Arabidopsis thaliana: one gene and its partners. The protein of the gene in region 2 binds, or shares a complex with, the protein of the main gene of each other region. Each region holds a gene or a part of one and is shown on either strand. Other genes may lie near its edges.

Region 1 (5,871 bases), on a different chromosome or scaffold from region 2:
CGTATACATAATAAGCTTCTAGGTTAGCTCAAATCCTTCAATGACAATAATATGAGTTTTTATTTTATAGATGTGTTTGTTAATGGGCTTAATTTTTTTGTTTTGCTCTAGGCAACAAAACATTACGGCTCCACAACATCTCTGAATGGTGACACTGCATAAATATCTAATGACATAAATCGCATAATGAAAATACTTGCAGAATGAAAAATCTCATAATGAAATAAACAACTATATACTTATTTATTTGCATAATGAATTTTTATATGAATTTTTTAGGCGAAAACGCAAATCATACGTTTTTACATTTTAGTAAATATTATGCAATTTTTTTTGGTTAGTAAGATTCTTGCATAATCTCATTAGAAAATGTTATTCCACCATTATGAGTGTTACTATTCGGAACCATTAACAGAAAAAAAAAAACAGAAAAATGAAAACCCAAATGCAAACAAAAGAAAAGTGCTACTTTTGTGTTTAGTATTTTACACTTTGCAAAAGAATTTTATAGACAAAAAAGTTCTATACAATATTACGAAGTTGAAAAAAAGTGGAAGCGCAAAAAGGCGAATGTAATTGAAATGGAAAATTTAGGGTTGACAAGTTGACACAATTCAGACCTACATTATAAAGGATTTCATGGCTAACATAAAACTTCTGATCTTGTCGACCATCTTTAGCACTATTTTCATGTTAAAACATAAGCTGCGCTCGTAAACATCTAAAGTCGGATATTGTAATCCAAACTAAAAAGCAATCTTTTAACCAATACTACGACAAGCGATTTCGAATGGAGTCATAATAAAGTTTACAAAACACTTAACAAAGACCCAAAATAACACACTAAATACTACATGACATAGCAAAAGACTTCAGTTTCGGATACAACTACTTTGAGAGACATCTTTTGTTTGTGAATCCAACACAATCATCTGTCTGCATCTCCAATCATTCCTCTGCTGGCGGCGAACGAGAGGGGCTGCTTCAGTTTCAAAACCACAAAAAAAAACTGGAAGTAAGATGATGATATTGATACCATTCAAATGTGATCTAAAGATAGCTTGGGATGTGGTACCTCTCGCGTATCGGGCTGTCTGCTCCATCGTATCCTCTTCCAGCTTCTACTTCCATTATTTGCCCAGGGCTCTCAACTTGACCATTCTCAGGGCTTGACTTCGACCTTGACCTTGACCTCTCCCTCCTCTTCTCATATGGAGGAGGACTCCTGCTTTCCCTTCTCTTCTCATATGGCGGAGGACTCCTGCTTTCCCTCCTCTTCTCATATGGAGGAGGACTCCTGCTTTCACCACGTCCTTTTCTTGGGCTTCGGTTCCTTACAGCTCCATTCTCTGGGCTAGCCACTCTCTCCCTCCTACGGTCATCCCTCTTGTAATCTGGGCTAAGCCTGGCTCTCTTGTAAGGGCTGGGGCTGCGTCTTCCACGACCATAATCAGGACTAGTCCTTTCCCTTTTGTGAGCTACTGGACTAGCACCTCGGCCATAGTCAGGACTTCCCCTTTCTCTTCTGTAAGGACTTGGTGATCGCCTTCTCCTATCAGGTGACCTATCACGCCGTCTTTCAGGACTGTATCCATTTCCTCTTGAATCATCATCTTTCACTGCATACTCCACTGAGATCACCTTATCCATCAGCTTACTGTAACAACAACAACAACAAAAAAAGGTCAATGGGAGCTGAAGGAAAACATTTGGGACAAATGAGAGTGTAAAGATGGACAGAAAGAAACCTGGAATTTGTAGCATCCAGTGCTCTGGTAGCATCTTCTTGTGCCTCATATTGGATGAATGCAAAATTCCTTCTGATTCTAACATTAACAATTTTACCATACGGCTCAAAGTGCCTCTCCAAGTCCCGAGTCCTAGTGTTTTGTGCATCGAAGTTGATCACAAACAGAGTCTTGGAAGGTCTCAAGCCAGAAGATGATCTCCTCGAACCACCTGATCTTCCAGCACCTCCACGGTCATTCTATACCCAGTATTAGAATTTGCATTCCATCACTAAATCCGTCCTGATAATAACTTTTAAAATGATATTCAAGATTCTACCTTTGTCCACTCAACACGGAGTCTGCGTCCTGTGCGACCATATTCAAAGCGATCAAGCGCTCGAATTGCATCTTCAGCATCCCTTTCATCTTCCATATAGACAAAAGCAAACCCTGGGGAGAGAACCAAAAGGGAAAGTCAGAACATGAGAACAATCTTATCAAGTAAACCAAGAAAAAGAACCTCCTCCAAGAGGAATTCTAATATGAAGACTCTCCCTTCCACGGCAGTATCAAAACAGCCTTTACTACTTACTGTGACAAATAAGTTTTGAACCTAAAATCTCTACAAACTATAAGTAGTTTTACAGACCTTGCATTATGGAATTAATATGTCAAAGAAGAAGAACTGAAAATGAGGAGGAGATGAGACGGAATTGTGAACAGAAACGTGGTGGCGCAAACTCCATTTGATTTGCTGCCTCTGCTGTGAGAGGTTGGTATAAGTCTACCAAAGAGGCATGTGCATCTCGAAGAGGAGAAAAGTCAAGAGGAATGAAATGCAACTAAAGTCGGGGTTATGGGAACGTAGTGCCATTGCGTGGATGAGGTTGACTCTTTTGGGCAGGAAATGGATTTTCCATATTGTCCATCAATGGGCTGTGTGGGAGAATGGGCATCCCAAGATCGAAACAAATCCTGCGCCAAAATCAAATGTTGAGTATGGCGGTTTTACCCTAAAATTACTCGATCTTTTCTCTTCTGAGGTATGCTATGAACTTCATGCGGGGTGCTTCAAGTTCCTTGGCAGATGTTGGAATCAGATGGTAGCGAACCGAGGGAATACGGAATGTGGGATGCAGAGGCTAGAGAGCACACTTTGAAAGGACAGTCCTCCAGAGAGTCTCATGGAATGAACGCACGTAAGTGGATTTTAAGAACAATGCATTTGACTGAATTTCGCTTGTTGTTCATCGGATTGGTAGTGGTTTACGAGACTTCTTTATCCATTTCAATTCAACCAAACAGAAAAACTAAGAGAAAGTATAAAGAAAAACAAGAACCAAGACTTACCAGCTTTCATATCAACCCTCTCAACCTTGCCGTACTTTCTGAAAAGCCGCTCAAGATCACTCTCACGAGCATCATACTCAAAGTTTCCGCAAAAGACAGGCTTCATGATTCCTACAAAATAGACAACAGAAACGATTTATAGCTCCTCTCAACAACCTAAGTATCAAAAGATATCCAAGAGATACTAAACAGAGCACAGATTTGACCAAAATATACAAATAAACACACTCCAGAAGAGAAGCAATAACAAAACATATAATTAAGATCATAGAACAATGAACATAACAGGAACCAAACCACAGAAAAATGTAATCATCTACACTTCCAAGTTTTCAACTTTATAACTGTAATAATCAAAATCCAATTCATCACAAATTAACAAACCAATGCAAATTTCATACTTCAAGATTTCAAATTTACAACTATATTCAAAATTCAATTCATCACAAGTCACAACCCATAACATACCACAACAGATTTTCATTAAAGTTTTCATATTTATACAAAGGAAGCCCAGAAAGTATGGATTTTTTCAAGCTATGATGAAAAAAACCTCAGATCTGGAAAAAAAAAATCAACCATATGAGAAAACAAAGCAAGAAGAAACTACAATTTCAACAGACCTAATGAAACAAGAAAAATTCAACGGAAGAAAATGAAAAAGCTATCGAATTTAAATCTGAAGAACAAGAGAAGAGAGAGACCAAAGAGAGAATCGAATTCAATATCTGAAGAACTCGATTTTGATTATACCTTAGAACAAGCAGTTGAAAAATCGTACCGGCCGTCGAGAGTCGAAACCCTAGAAACAAGCTTCTCTAGATTTTATTTGCTTTCTTCGAGGCTCTCTCTCCAGATAATGAATCTTAAACATATATTTATATTTATATATATATATATATATATATTAAAAAAAAAAATATTTTATTTTTATTTCGTTACCAACTAGAGAAGTACAAATAATTTTTTACCTAAACATTTTATGTTTACAATTGAAATTTCTGCAAAATATACATCAATTTCATATAAGACTTTGTAGTTGCCTCAACAAAATCTAGAGGAAGAAGAATCATATACATACATATTGTACTCATTTAGATTCTTTTTCCAGTTTCCTTTTTAAATATGCAACAACTTGTTTTTTTAGTTATATCATGAAAGGTTTTGATTCATCATCAGATACTGTTCATATAACTCCCATAGCAAGAACCCTATAATTGTGTCTCTTACGAAGCTCTTTAAAACCTTTTGAATCCAACCGTTCGATGTAGTACCAGTACCACCATTATATGAATCTCCTCTTCCCACCAAATCTCTAAACCGGAGATCCCCAGAGTCTGACACCAACGCGTAGATGACACCATTCATGTGTCCTTTCCCGATCACTCCCACCACTGTTTTACACCCATTCACTGCCTTACTTCTCTTCAATGACCAAGCAAGATACTGTCAAGGCAAAAAAACACATTATTTGGTCAAGTCTTATCAGCATACGGTTTTTTTGAGTGTCGCTTTGTTTCGGTTTTTATGCTTACGGTATCTCTTTCGTGTATAAGAGGCATTAGGAGTGCCGGGTATGAGAAACTTAGCCGTTCGTAAAGCTGCAAACTTCCACTGTTTTCATCGGTCTCTTGTTCCTGTTGCAATGCAAACACAAACCGAAAAGTTACAACTTATCTTATCATCTTCTTGAATTAAAGCGAAACCGAGTTAGCGAAAGAGAAACAAAACCTTAAGCTCCGCTGCGGATATACCCGATGACGATGTGATTACCCGAGTCACAGCCATCACCAGATTAAACTTCTCTCCCCATTTCAAAGAGTTCCAAGCCCTTTGGAGCTACAATGTTATAAGTTCAATGTAGATTCCATTGGTTTTAAACCCATATGTAACTACAAAAACGATCAGTTGGTACTTGGTATAGTCATTACAGTTATTTCGATGGGTCGATCTCCAAGAACCAGCTGCGCACCAACTTCCTCAGATGCTTTCCGAGCAGCACGAAACTGCAACAAATAGCAATCAAGAAGAGACTGAATGTCCAAAAACAAACACTAACTCTTGAGGTTTTCTCAAAAGTACCTCATCCCCGAAAGGGCGGTCAGCAACAGAAGATAACTTAGAAGAGAAAACCGCCAATAGAAGTCGCAATGCCAACGCAGTTTGCCCTCCTATGATCATCCCAAACACACACATTCATCAACGTTGAAGTACAAAAGCGAGCAATGGTAAATAAAAAGCTTTGATTAGTTTATATACCCAAGTCTAAACTCCGGCCAACAGCACCGAGAAAGCCAGTCCCGGTCAACGACAACTCTCCGGATTTTAAGTTTTGGTCAACCTCTCCTCCAACACTTGAAGTGTACATAATCCCAGCTCTGCAACATCAACACCAAGCTCTGCAATTTGTTACACAACACAATGGCTAATTCAATTTCATCAGTTGGCAATAAAGTCATCAAATTTCACGAAACCCGAATTTCGTTTGGATAAAGAATTGGACTTTCCTGCTACGACAGAGTTCAACGGCGACATTATCAGGCTTCACAGTACGGACGACGCGTTCAACGATGGAAGCAGATTCCGGCGAGATATGAGAAGTGCCCACAAGCCAAATCGCTTCCGGCTCAACGAACTCTTTGCGCCAAGCTGGAACAGGACCGAAACTCTGTTTCTGGAGAAGAATCAGAGTCCCGTTATCAGCGAGGTCAAGCAACTCCGGGTAAGTTTTCGCGATTGCGGCGCGTGATTCCGACGCGATGTCGTTGCGGAAATCGAAATCCGGCGGAGG
Region 2 (6,027 bases):
ACGAAAGTGGTTATTTCAAAATTATTGGTTCCAAGTTAGAAATTTGACTACATATTTATATATATTTTTAATAATTACTAATCATCAATTTACAATTAGAAAACGGAGATTATCCTCAACACTCTCTTCCAAAGATTCAATACATACAGGATCAGAGAATGGTGTGTGTATTTATTAGATTATAAAAACAGAGTTGTTGCTCTGTTGTGCAGGAAATGACAGGAGTGTTCATGAAGAACTGTTTTCTAAACTATGTTACCTACAGAAACATCTTCCCCATATGGGCACTTGCAGAGTGGTATGTATATTTATTTTCTTTGAGTGGTATGTACTGTGTGAAGTTGAGGAAAACTCTATTTTTCGTTTTAAATAAAAGTTTGTGCACTCTCATTAAGATGCATGGTTTGATGCAAAATTGTTGTTGTGCATCTTAGGAGCCCTTAAATTATAATTATTTATTTCTCTGAATGAAACAAAAAACCAATTTCTTGTGTATTTGGATCACCAGTCTTTGTATGGATTTCTTTCTCTTTTAACTAAAATAATAAGAAAAGGGTGAAGGAGCCAGCCATTCTTCAACAAGACTGAATATATTAGGGAATTACAACCAGCTAAAAGAACCAAGTCATTATCGTTGCATCTAATGAGGAGATCCACAAAAGAAGATTAAACATCCAAACACTACAAAAACCACAACTCTCATTTGGTCACTGGTAAACATTTTATCTGTTCTAAGAAAAGAGGCTGAGACAGATGATAACGATAAAGATGGAGAAAGAGAGCTACATCAAGACTCAAGTTTTTTTTTTTTTTTTTTTAATTTTTATCACCTTTAAGTTTTACGAGGTGGAGGTGGTGGTGGCGGTGAACTGCTGCTGCTGCTGTTACTGCTGCTTCTTTTTCCTCTCAGTGGCCTAAACATACCCAACAACAACCCATTTTCTTTTATTAGACTTCAACGCAAAAAATTTCTACACAACAATTCTATTTTTCTCTGTTTCATCACCAAACTCACCAAGAAAGTATAGGTCCCAGATGTTTATGCTATGTCTTTTATCAGGAATTGGGGTAACCCTTAACTTTACTATACATAACTTAACATTGGAACTTCTTCAATTAATGCATTCTACAGACTATAAAGTGTTTCCAGTTTAAGACGAGGATTAGTGTTAAGACAGAAAGTGTTTACCTCTTAGGACTGCGGCTCCTTGAAATCTTCCTAGGAATCTGTAAGGTTTAATAATGCACAAATGATAGAAAGTCAAGAGTCAAGACATATAACTCGCAAGGCATCAAAAATTTTATAGCTAAAAAGGGATCTGCAAGAAGCCCTTACCCTTCTGGGACTTGGTGAACTAGAGTAAGAAGATGACCTCCCACGTCTCCCAGCTGGACCTCGTCCCCTGCTTACAGTTAAAGACAAAATTAATTCATGAACAAACCCCAGACGGATCTATATAACTTAGTCATATTGGGTATCAACGTCTCTAGGAGCTGGTATGTCAGAAACCTAGGTAAAAGGATAAGACAATGTAGGATCTTGGGGTATACTCATGAATTATGAAAGACTTAAAAACTTGTTATGAATCAGTCTTAGCTATGCATCTGTAACAAAATAAAACCCACGAGAGAGACCCCAGAAAAAAGTTTAAATGAGTTCCAACATACTTGCGGGGTGAGATGGAACTTGAACGAGAGCGACCAGGCCTACGAATTGGGGATCGGCTACGCCTACGGATTGGAGATCTTCTGGGAGGACTGCGTAGTCTCCTTGGAGGTGGAGACCTGAAACACGCCGAATACAAAACATATATAAAACTGACACATTTTTCCCGGTCTAATTTACTGAGTAATATAGTCTATAAAGCTGTGATTCCTAAACTTCGATTACTAAGGGTGTAATTCAGGTACCAAATAGACATACCTTCGTCTTAGAGGAAGAGGAGACCTTCTTCGAACAGGACTGCCACGAATTCTTCTAGGGGAGCCCCTGCTGACAGATAAAAGGTGAGCTATCGAATCTGAAACACACCAGACAAAACAGATGGTGCCATAACTAACCTTGGAGGAGATCTATATCGTCTTGGAGGGGGAGAAGATGGAGAACGGCCTCTAGATGGTGATGCTGGCCTACGTCTAGGAGGTGTATCACCGCGACGGCGGATAGGAGAGCCCGGCCTCCGGCGATGGGGAGAATCAGGTGATCGCCTTCTAGGTGATAAGCCTCTCCTAGGTAGAGGTGATCGCCTTCTCGGAGAAAGCCCTGTTTTCCGTTGAGGAGATGCTAAGCACATATTGATGATACTAATTAACACAACATAAAGCATATACTACAACAATTATAAATAACCAAAATATAAGGATTTGACATACTCTCTCTTGGGCGCCTGGGACCACCATCTTTCTCAGCGTCAGCAGCAGCATTATCAGATTTTGGAGCATCTCTTTTTGGTGCAGCTGAGACAGGTTTAGGGGGTGAAGATACTTTCTGACGAGGTGGTAGTGTGAACGTTGCTTTAACAACCTTTCCATCAATTTGGGCCTGTGTTCAGTGAACAAAAAAAAAACATGCATAAATCTTCTCTGTCAATATGTCAAGTACAGTGCATTTCATAATTGGAAAGAGACATACACCATCCATGTAGAGCTGAGCTTTCTCAGCATCAGCTCTTGCCTTGAACTCAACATAACCATGTCCTCTTGGAAGATTAACCTGTTAATAATATTCAAAGGAATTATGAGCAGATTTCAACAAGTGATGCAAGTAAACAACAGAGAGTAAAGAGAATAGCAACTTACAGCTCGATCCATCGCAATTTCGACATGTATAACTTCACCAAAGTTGCCTAATAATAACATGAAACCAAGCCATGTTATAAGACTTAACATTTAGCCAACACAAGGAAAACAAAAGACCAGTGATGATCGTAATGCCGTATACACTACTGATGACATTAGCGGACATGTGTAGACAGTTATCATGTAGTAAGATTAGAAGAAGCAGAAGAAACAGAGAAAAGAGAAATCAACATACCAAAGATTTCTTTGAGATGGGCTTCATTCACATTCCTGCTAAGAGAATCAACATGGAGAACAAGAGATTCTTGAACAGCTTTCCTGAAAGCATAAAAGATTGTAAAGTCAGTAATGACGAAAGCATAAACACTAGAATATATTTATGTGAACGAGTCAGATATTACTTGGAAGGTGAAGATGCTCCTTTAGATGGTGGAGGAGGAGGAGAGCGACCTCGCCTAGCAGGTCCAGCAGGACTACACAAGAAGATACATCAGAACATCAATTCGAATTCGAGCTGAACGAACCAAGAAGAATGAAAGCGAAATTACACAAATCCAATTCGAACAATTGGTAAGTGATTGAAAGAAACCCTAACCTTTTTCCACGACGTGGAGGACTGCGACTCCCAGAACTGACGCTTCGCGAAGGAGATGAAGATGAAGAGAGCGATCTAGAACGGGAGCGTGAGCGGGAAATAGACCTGGAGGGGCTCGAACCCGAACGAGATCTGGAACTGGAACGAGATGACGAGCCAGACACGGAGGGGGAACGACGGCCACGACTTGGTTTCGCCATGGGCGAGAGATATCGAGAAAATCGCGAGAAACCTTGCTTCAAAACCCTAGCGGATAAAAAAGATTAGAGGAGAGAGACAGACAGACAGACTGTGACTTTTTTTTTCCAGTCTCCTTTTTTTTTCCGCGGACTGCAAATTAAACCGAAGATGATACGTGGCAGGTTTTTATTTGCTTGATAAATTGAGGGATTTATATGTTTTTTAAAGCATTTTATAAAGTATAAATACCATAATGAGCTCAATTTGTGTCCTTTCCCATTTTTCATATCAGATTTGAATGTGTCACTAATCAAAAGTTCTTCAAATCCTACAGGAAAATTCAAACAGAAAAGCTAGTAACTCCCATAAAAAATTCAACAACTTATAAAATGTTGTAATCGATTGTCTGTGGTCGTGTACACCATCCAATTAGGATCAATTAGATACCATTTTTCTATAGCTCTCTTGTTGTCCCATAATTTGTTGATATTGTTGTTGCCTTGGTACAAACTTAAGAGCAATCTCAAAATCAAAGTATCTTAGATTGAATCTAGTCATTGAATAACACCGAAACCATTAAGGTTTATTCATACATCTATATAGAAGTGTCAAATGGTCATCTGACCATGGGCTAAGCCCAGTCCACAACATTATGGACAGTCCATGGTCGGCCCGTAATGAAAACGGGCTATATGGTCTAAAGACCAATTTTGTCCATGGGTTTAATGGGCTAGCCCACACGGTTTATGGTTGGCCCATCAATTTTTTCAACACATAAATTTTTTTCTCTTCTCTCTCTTTCGGCAACGACGCTCTCTCTCCCGGCGACAAAGCTCTCTCTCGGCGACGACCAAGCTCGACCTCTCTCTCAACTCCTACTCCGGTTAGTTCTACTAGCTTGTGGGTTTGTCCAAAGTTCAATTGTGAATTTTGGATATGAGGAGAGCTAGCTAGCAAATGGGCACTTTTCAGATTTTGTTTATGTTTCGCCATTTCGAATTTCATTATGAATTGAAGCACATCAATATGTAGAGACCCTTTGTGTTGTAAGTTCATGCTTAATTATTCCAGAAGGCTAGTGATTTAGTCAAGTTCATGCTTTATTTGTTTATCACTGCTAAACGTGTGTATGTCTTTATTTGTTTCAGAAATATGGAATTGGATACTCAAAACTTGGTTGATGAAGACAACTTTAATCTTGAGGATCAAGAAATGGACCATGAAGATCCAGAAATGGATCAGATACTACCTCATGAAACTGCTTCTTCAGGGACAGCTGAGAGAGGTAAAAGTAGTGTAAGTAGATTTCGTGCTGCATGCTGGAAAAACTTCGATAGAGGACAGAAATATCCTAATGGGAAAACTGAGGTTACATGCAAATATTGTGAGCAGACTTATCACTTGAATCTGAGACGAAATGGTACTAATACCATGAATCGTCATATGAGATCTTGTGAGAAGACTCCTGGAAGTACACCTAGAATTAGCAGAAAGGTGGATATGATGGTCTTTAGAGAAATGATTGCAGTGGCTTTAGTTCAACATAATCTTCCATATTCGTTTGTCGAATATGAAAGAATTAGAGAAGCCTTTACATATGCTAACCCTTATATAGAATTTTGGAGCAGAAATACTGCAGCTTCTGATGTCTACAAGATTTATGAAAGAGAGAAAATTAAGCTTAAGGAAAAGTTAGCTATAATCCCGGGTAGAATATGCTTAACAACAGATTTGTGGAGAGCTTTAACTGTTGAAAGTTATATTTGCTTAACAGCTCATTATGTAGATGTTGATGGTGTTCTGAAAACGAAGATCTTATCTTTCTGTGCTTTCCCGCCTCCACATTCTGGAGTAGCTATAGCAATGAAGCTTAGTGAGCTGTTGAAAGATTGGGGAATTGAGAAGAAAGTTTTTACTTTAACTGTAGATAATGCTTCTGCAAATGATACTATGCAAAGCATTTTAAAGCATAATGCTTCTGAAAATGCATTCTTATACTTAGTGAGAATTTTGTTTTGTTGGTCATATTTCAGGGGTTTTACTCTTACTTTTCTGAAAGAAATGGAACTGGAAAATCACCATTAGATATGTACTTGGAAGAGCCTGTGTTAGATATGGTCTCTTTTAGAGATATGGATGTTATTGCATATTGGAAAAACAATGTCTCGCGTTTTAAAGAATTGTCATCGATGGCATGTGATATCTTAAGCATTCCGATCACTACCGTGGCATCGGAATCAGCTTTTAGTATAGGTAGTCGTGTGCTTAACAAATATAGAAGCTGCCTTTTACCTACTAATGTGCAAGCCCTCCTATGTACTAGAAACTGGTTTCGTGGATTTCAAGAAGTTGGTAATATTCACATCTTGAACTCGTTTATAATAGTAAACTTATATGGCTTTTGGACTGCAGCTTTTAGATTAATAGCTCGGTTTTTCTTATTGAAGAAACTG
Region 3 (6,451 bases), on a different chromosome or scaffold from region 2:
CGGCCGACCTCTCTCTCATCCTCCGAGTATTGTTGGCTTCAGACCAAATCTTCTCCGGCGCTGCGGCGTTTCCCCCGGTACGGAGTCATTCACCTCTCTCTTTTCTCTCTCGCGCTCCCTCTCTCTCTCTCTCTCTATCTCTGGCTCTTTTTGATTGTACAAGTATTGTTAGGATTATACGTTTGATTCTGTATGTAGCATCTGTCTAGTCGACGTCAAATCGATATTATGTTTCCAAATATTGATTGGTTACCAAAACTGATACGAGAATATTGAATCTCTATGGGCTATGTATGTATATCAGAGTCATGGCTAAGCCATGGGCACATTTTGTAAACACTAATGTTGTAGTTTCAACTTTCAATGGTCTAATTGCTGAACTTCGACATGTTTTTACCATGGCAGCAAAAGGTAGAAGTAGCTGATTACAGGAACAATGATGTCCTTTGAAATGAATGACCGGAAAAGTAAGTTCACATTGTGAGTTCTATAAATATTTTCTGCTATTGGAAGACATACCTGTTACTTAGTTATACTTAATTCTTCTTTTGCTTATCACGTTCTTGAGTTAGTAGATCATTCAATGTCATGTTGTTGTTCGGAACCCCATTTAGTTTCAGTATATCTTATTACCAGGTTACGAAGTTACTCATGCTGTACTTGGATATACTTAAACGTTTCTTATGTGATTTGAAACAGAAATCGGGTTAGGCCTGACAGGATTTGGCGTATTCTTCTCGTTTTTGGGAATAGTCTTCGTCTTTGATAAGGGATTACTTGCCATGGGAAATGTAAGTATCTCATGTATCTTTGTTTCTATACTTTGACCACTATTATTGCATACACGTACAGAACTAGTATGAGAGCTTGTTTCTTTTCATATTTTCTCAGATTCTTTTCATCTCGGGGGTTAGTCTAACCATTGGCTTCAAGTCTACCATGCAGTTCTTCATGAAGCGTCAAAATTATAAGGTTTGTTTCTGTCTTTGTCTACATTATCAATAGCTTGGGCCAGTCTCTGCTGGATTTTTACAGATTTCTACTTAATGTCATCTATGTGTGTTCATTTGGCTTTATATGTTATCCACTCAGGGAACCATCTCTTTTGGCGTCGGTTTCTTCTTTGTTATCATCGGGTGGCCTATCTTGGGAATGATGTTGGAGACCTATGGCTTTTTCGTACTCTTCAGGTACTTTTGCCTATTTTCTTCTTCTTTACTGGTATTGCTTGAGGAAATGTAAACTGATACTAAAAACGTTTTGCTTTTGCAGTGGCTTCTGGCCTACCTTGGCAGTCTTTGCTCAGAAGATACCCGTTCTGGGTTGGATTATTCAGCAACCATATATTAGATCGGTATGTGTCCAATTGCAAACAACTATAGCAAACTTTGCATGAAATTCTTAGATCTCGAATACAACACATACAAAACTCATAATGACTCCCAGTTTTGCCTTTCCAAATTACAGTTGATAATTCTCTCTTTGTTTCTGATGATCTTGAGTTGCTAGGCCTTTTCTCAGTTTGGCTTAACTTTAATAGTAATTCTGTTGCATAGTCTGCCAATTGTTGGCTAATGCGATTACTTTACACTTTTTTTTTATGTGATGTGTAGTTCTTTGACAAGTACCGGGGCAAGCGAGTGCCGGTCTAGTCTTCCATCCCGAGCAGAGAGACGATTCACTGAGCTAGATGCAGCTGAACAGGCGATTAAAGTTTTTGGAAGAAGAAGTTTCGTGATCCTGTAGAAAACTAAAACCATAGGAGAAAGAAAATAGGAAGGAAAAGAACGTACAATTTGAAGCTGTGTGTCTATGTTTCAGGTGAAGTAGATGAATCTTCGTCCAGGTTGCAAATTGCAACAGAATGTTAAAAATGTAATGTTTTATTTTTGGGTTAGTTATAGGTTACACCTCAATTTTGGAAACTAATTAAAGAGAAACAATTGTTTCTATTCACAAAAACTTTTTGTAACCATTACGCATTACATAATTTTAATCATATTGTTATTAACTTAATGGTTCTATTTGACCAAAAACAAAAACTTAGAGGTTATTTGACAAACAGATTACTTAAAGAGGGACCGAAAAATAAAAACACAAAAGAACTGAGTGAATCAACTAAAGGGTAATTCCGGTATTTCAGGAAAGTTTTAAGGACGACCCCTACTAATGGATAAAGTAGAAACCCTAGTTTGAATTTTCACGGCCGACCTCTCTCTCTCATCTACTAAGCTCTCCTCCGAGTATTGTTGGCTTCAGACCAAATCTTCTCCGGCGCTGTAGCGTTTCCCCCGGTACGGATTCATTCACCTCTCTCTCTCTATCGCTCTCCCTCTCTCTATCTCTATCTATCTGTTGTTTTCTCTGAATTTGGTTTCCGTGTTCTTATGAATTCGATGGTTTGGTGTTTCAATTTCGTTAATTTCACTGATAATTGTTGGTCTTTTGGCTCTCTTGAGGTGAATATACTTCGCTATGGTCGTGGGGGTAGTTTCCTTGACTTCAATTAGCTTTTTTATGTCGAATGTTCTTGAGTTGTTTAAGGTGATTTTTGATTAAATTCAGAAGGTCTTATGTTTGTTAGAATCTGTCTTTTATTCATTGTCCTTACTGAGGAAATTTTTTTACTTGCATTGAAAAGAAACATAATTTACCAAGAGGTTCTATGTAACGATGATTTGTGGGTCGATCTGTATTTTAAATAGTCGTTAAAAGTAGAATTTTTGTTGTATGTTTGAAAGGAATAATGGTTTGAGTAAGGAAGAAGAACAAGGTAGATGCATGAGTCTATGTTACATGATGTCATGACACATGCTTTCTTTATGATAGATGGCAAGAGCTTGGAACATGAGCATTGCAATGGTTCATAGGGATATAGAGAGGGATTGGGGAGATCAATGTGGATATTGTTTTTATTATTAATGGAGATTCATGGGAACGATCTGGAGAAATATATATATTTCAATATTTTAAATAGCTTTTGGAGCATATTGGAGCAAATAAGCATTTGGAGCTTGTGGAGCACTGCTCTGACCCAGGATTGCTCTCACTTGGTTTGCTTCATATATATTTTGGTCTTACCATGTTTTCTTTTTCTTTTCTTATCATCGTCTCATTTTGATGCTGGGGCTATGTCGAAAGCTGTTTGAGTGGAGGTTCTTTGTCTATAGCAGTAAATTTTGATCCTTTATTTATTTCGTTTCCTTTTTATTCTCATGTGCAGTTTCCCCTTTTTAACCTTTGCAAACAATGAGTGGGCGATTTTCTCGGTCAATCTATGTTGGTAACTTGCCCGGTGACATTAGGGAACATGAGATTGAAGATATCTTTTACAAGGTCAGTTTTTGGTTATTTGTTTGATTCAGTTACGGGTCCTCTCTTGAATCGTTATCCCTATAAGACAGTGAAGATTCTTGAGCATCTTTTGTATTCATATTTAATGCTCTTGTTTGCAGTATGGCCGCATTGTCGATATTGAATTGAAGGTTCCACCTCGGCCTCCATGTTATTGCTTTGTTGAGGTAAGTGTATTCGCTTACATTACATGTTCCTAACCAACTTTAAATTTCGCTGAACCAAGCTCTGTTGAATGTTTGTAGTTTGAGCATTCTCGGGATGCTGAAGATGCCATCAAGGGCCGTGATGGCTATAATTTGGATGGCTGTCGCTTGAGGGTAATCAGTTACTTCCTTGCTATTTTTTCAGCAGACAATATGGGCTTATGCTTCACATATCCTTACAGCAGAGTCTAAACTTTTCTGGCTGTTTTACATTACCTTGTGATGTTTCTTTTTATTTTTCAATAGTTTCTAATCATTATGAATGCAGGTTGAGCTTGCACATGGTGGTCGAGGACAGTCTTCAAGTGATCGTCGTGGTGGCTACGGTGGTGGTGGCAGCGGCTATGGTGGTGGAGGTGGTGGTGGTGGATCAGCTCGGTTTGGCGTCTCACGACACTCTGAATTCCGAGGTTTGTGTTTCTTGCTAGAAGTTGGTATTATTAAAATTTGGTTTCACTTCACTTCTTCTGATTCTTGGATGGCTATTTTGCAGTTATTGTACGTGGGCTCCCATCATCTGCTTCATGGCAAGATTTGAAGGTCTGATGACACTTAATGTTTTGCTGCAACATTTTGGTTTCTACTCCCTAGTCTTGTTTTTCATATAAAATCCATTTTTTTCAGGATCATATGCGGAAAGCTGGTGATGTGTGCTTTGCTGAGGTGACTCGAGACAGTGATGGTACGTTAATTTACAGTTTCTGATGCATACTTACTTAGCAATATATTTACTTTTTCAGCTTTGAGCAGAGTTTTGTTTGGGATATTATACTTACGTTTTTCTCCCACAACATGACTATTTATAATAATATGATCAGGAACTTATGGTGTTGTCGACTACACCAATTATGATGACATGAAGTATGCAGTAAGTGAACTCTGTGCGTCTCTCTTACTGTATTGCATGCTATGGTTTGTATAATTACTGATGTTCAATAGTTGTGATTTCAGATAAGGAAACTTGATGACACAGAGTTCAGAAACCCCTGGGCTAGAGGTTTTATCCGGGTACCATTTCTCTATGCAGTCTCTTCTTTTTTCCCTCTTTGACCATAATTAACAGATATTAGTTATCTCTCAAGTCTCTCAACATTTTACTTCGTTTGATGCTTCATTCTCTATCTTCCCATTCGTAAAACATCTATGACTTTTGTAGTCTCAATTGGTTAGGCTAATTTAAAATCATGATCTCACAAGTTTGTATTCATCTTATGTCTGTGTTTTCTGCTCATATGCAGGTTAAGAAATATGAAAGCTCCCGATCAAGAAGCAGAAGCCCAAGCAGAAGCAGAAGCAGAAGCAGAAGTCGAAGTCGTAGCCGAGGCCGTGGTCGCAGCCATAGCCGCAGTCGCAGCCTTAGCAGGAGCAAGAGCCCAAGGAAGGATCTGAGGTACTACGTTTGTTATCACTGAACCTTTGTATATCTCCCATTTTCAATACCTAAAAATGGAGTTGTGTGTTTACCAATCTTTATTGCAGTAAATCACCAAGGCGATCCCTTTCCAGATCGATTTCAAAATCTAGATCGCCATCGCCCGACAAGAAGAAGAGTCCCCCCAGGCAAGTCTTCTGCCCTTCTTTTGTGTTCTTTCTCTCAACCATCATGATACTTTTATTCGTTCTTTTATTTCTCCTGTGATTATTGTGACATGTTGCTTTTTACCAATTCAGGGCAATGTCGAGATCAAAGTCCAGGTCCAGGTCCAGATCGAGGTCTCCGTCCAAATCTCCTCCCAAGGTATAGAACTAAGCTGCCTGCGTTTTAGCATCATTTTACCAAGTTATAGGCAAAACACCAAACAGACCAATCTAAAAAAATCTTTTTCTCAGGTTCGCGAAGGCAGTGTGTGATTTTGTTAAGCGGTGAAAATGGCCAAAAGAAAGAGTGCGAAAAATTCTCAAGTCAAGATCCATTCTCTGTGTTTTTTTTTTTGCTGTTTTCGGATAATTGACATTTTCTGCTGTTCTCTGCTTCTTTACTCACAAATGATCATCTTTATACTATTATGACCTGTTATGTTATGGATGTTTCCGTGACCATCACAATACCTCTGAGTTTTGTATTGTTAGTCCTGTTCTTGTTTAAACCCTATGAAGTCTTAGCGAACCTGGATCTCTCATCTAAATTATCAAATATTTAACTGATTTGTATGAAATGGGCATAATATTAAAGAAATCAAATTAAAGTTAAGATATTTGACATGGTTTATAGACGGTCAAATGAGTTGTTTACCTAACAAGGTTCTTCCACAAAGTCGACAAAATTTATATATTTGACATGATCTGTTTGTCGGCATCTTTTAGTATTCCATCACAAACAAAAGTTGAGAATTAGGATGAAGTGCGCATTTCCTTGCATAAGTAGGGATACAACTTCAACATCTTAGGTATAATGTTAAAACATTTTTGTACAAACTTTTAGCTAATATGTATCTTTACAAGAAATATCAGAAGAGAAAATATATCTATCTTAATACGTATTTTTGGATAAATAGTGGCCATATATATAAGGTCCCCAACTTAGAAACGAAACAAGATGTTATAAATTCTTATGTAGCCCGGACCGGCTAAGAGAAAAGTGGGATCATGTACCCATTTAAAAAAAAAGTTTATCTCTTATACTATATGTATAGATTTGGGCCTTTTGTATAATTTTTGAAAAATAGGGCTATAATTGCTTAAAGAAATCTGACTAAAAAATAGGACCCTATTCAAAAGCACCCTTTGCACACCCTCTCAGCCGGCCTTGGTAGCCATAATCGCTTCCATAAGCCTCACATCTTCTATATGGTCAGTAAATGTAAAAATATTCCGACCCTTAAAAGCTTCCATCCCTTGGATTTTGATTCTTGTAATAGTCTTCCTCTTCATATTGTAACAAAAAGTGTAGA

What was found. The genes of interacting proteins can lie anywhere in the genome.
Region 1: SR45 (region 2) and RS41 share a complex: the UniProt entries of both Arabidopsis thaliana proteins name them as parts of the spliceosome.
Region 3: SR45 (region 2) and SR34a share a complex: the UniProt entries of both Arabidopsis thaliana proteins name them as parts of the spliceosome.

Annotation. Positions count from the first base shown.
Region 1 is NC_003076.8:21,128,396-21,134,266, reverse strand, and holds RS41 (RNA-binding (RRM/RBD/RNP motifs) family protein), read right to left. Parts: upstream 3,948-5,871; 5' UTR 3,834-3,947; intron 3,223-3,833; coding exon of another isoform or gene 3,187-3,222; coding exon 3,081-3,186; coding exon of another isoform or gene 2,993-3,080; exon of another isoform or gene 2,930-2,992; coding exon of another isoform or gene 2,818-2,929; exon of another isoform or gene 2,774-2,817; coding exon of another isoform or gene 2,567-2,773; exon of another isoform or gene 2,477-2,566; coding exon of another isoform or gene 2,452-2,476; exon of another isoform or gene 2,387-2,451; coding exon of another isoform or gene 2,380-2,386; exon of another isoform or gene 2,181-2,379; coding exon 2,068-2,180; intron 1,988-2,067; coding exon 1,749-1,987; intron 1,658-1,748; coding exon 1,076-1,657; intron 983-1,075; coding exon 949-982; 3' UTR 716-948; downstream 1-715. Other genes in the region: AT5G52045 (uncharacterized protein), read left to right, coding at 2,567-2,773, 2,818-2,929, 2,993-3,222; AT5G52030 (TraB family protein), read right to left, coding at 4,233-4,526, 4,616-4,717, 4,812-4,919, 5,012-5,086, 5,163-5,251, 5,340-5,458, 5,555-5,871. UniProt on the Arabidopsis thaliana protein: Required for constitutive and alternative pre-mRNA splicing. Involved in primary miRNA processing and pri-miRNA biogenesis. Binds both intronless and intron-containing pri-miRNAs.
Region 2 is NC_003070.9:5,675,093-5,681,119, forward strand, and holds SR45 (arginine/serine-rich 45), read right to left. Parts: upstream 3,761-6,027; 5' UTR 3,595-3,760; coding exon 3,395-3,594; intron 3,273-3,394; coding exon 3,201-3,272; intron 3,118-3,200; coding exon 3,035-3,117; intron 2,847-3,034; coding exon 2,800-2,846; intron 2,714-2,799; coding exon 2,633-2,713; intron 2,543-2,632; coding exon 2,374-2,542; intron 2,285-2,373; coding exon 2,062-2,284; intron 1,991-2,061; coding exon 1,925-1,990; intron 1,786-1,924; coding exon 1,636-1,785; intron 1,404-1,635; coding exon 1,337-1,403; intron 1,228-1,336; coding exon 1,190-1,227; coding exon of another isoform or gene 1,186-1,189; exon of another isoform or gene 1,095-1,185; coding exon of another isoform or gene 1,085-1,094; exon of another isoform or gene 915-1,084; coding exon 833-914; 3' UTR 756-832; downstream 1-755. UniProt on the Arabidopsis thaliana protein: Involved in 5' and 3' splicing site selection of introns, and may bridge the 5' and 3' components of the spliceosome. Isoform 1 is required during flower petal development and isoform 2 is involved in root growth.
Region 3 is NC_003074.8:18,329,419-18,335,869, forward strand, and holds SR34a (SER/ARG-rich protein 34A), read left to right. Parts: upstream 1-2,090; 5' UTR 2,091-2,294; exon of another isoform or gene 2,295-3,223; 5' UTR 3,224-3,249; coding exon 3,250-3,336; intron 3,337-3,455; coding exon 3,456-3,521; intron 3,522-3,599; coding exon 3,600-3,674; intron 3,675-3,828; coding exon 3,829-3,970; intron 3,971-4,053; coding exon 4,054-4,100; intron 4,101-4,184; coding exon 4,185-4,242; intron 4,243-4,378; coding exon 4,379-4,428; intron 4,429-4,511; coding exon 4,512-4,568; intron 4,569-4,798; coding exon 4,799-4,950; intron 4,951-5,039; coding exon 5,040-5,120; coding exon of another isoform or gene 5,121-5,199; exon of another isoform or gene 5,200-5,231; coding exon 5,232-5,298; intron 5,299-5,390; coding exon 5,391-5,411; 3' UTR 5,412-5,736; downstream 5,737-6,451. Other genes in the region: AT3G49420 (Got1/Sft2-like vescicle transport protein family), read left to right, coding at 437-467, 700-791, 892-972, 1,093-1,190, 1,273-1,354, 1,614-1,652; AT3G49440 (F-box associated ubiquitination effector family protein), read right to left, coding at 6,297-6,451. UniProt on the Arabidopsis thaliana protein: Probably involved in intron recognition and spliceosome assembly.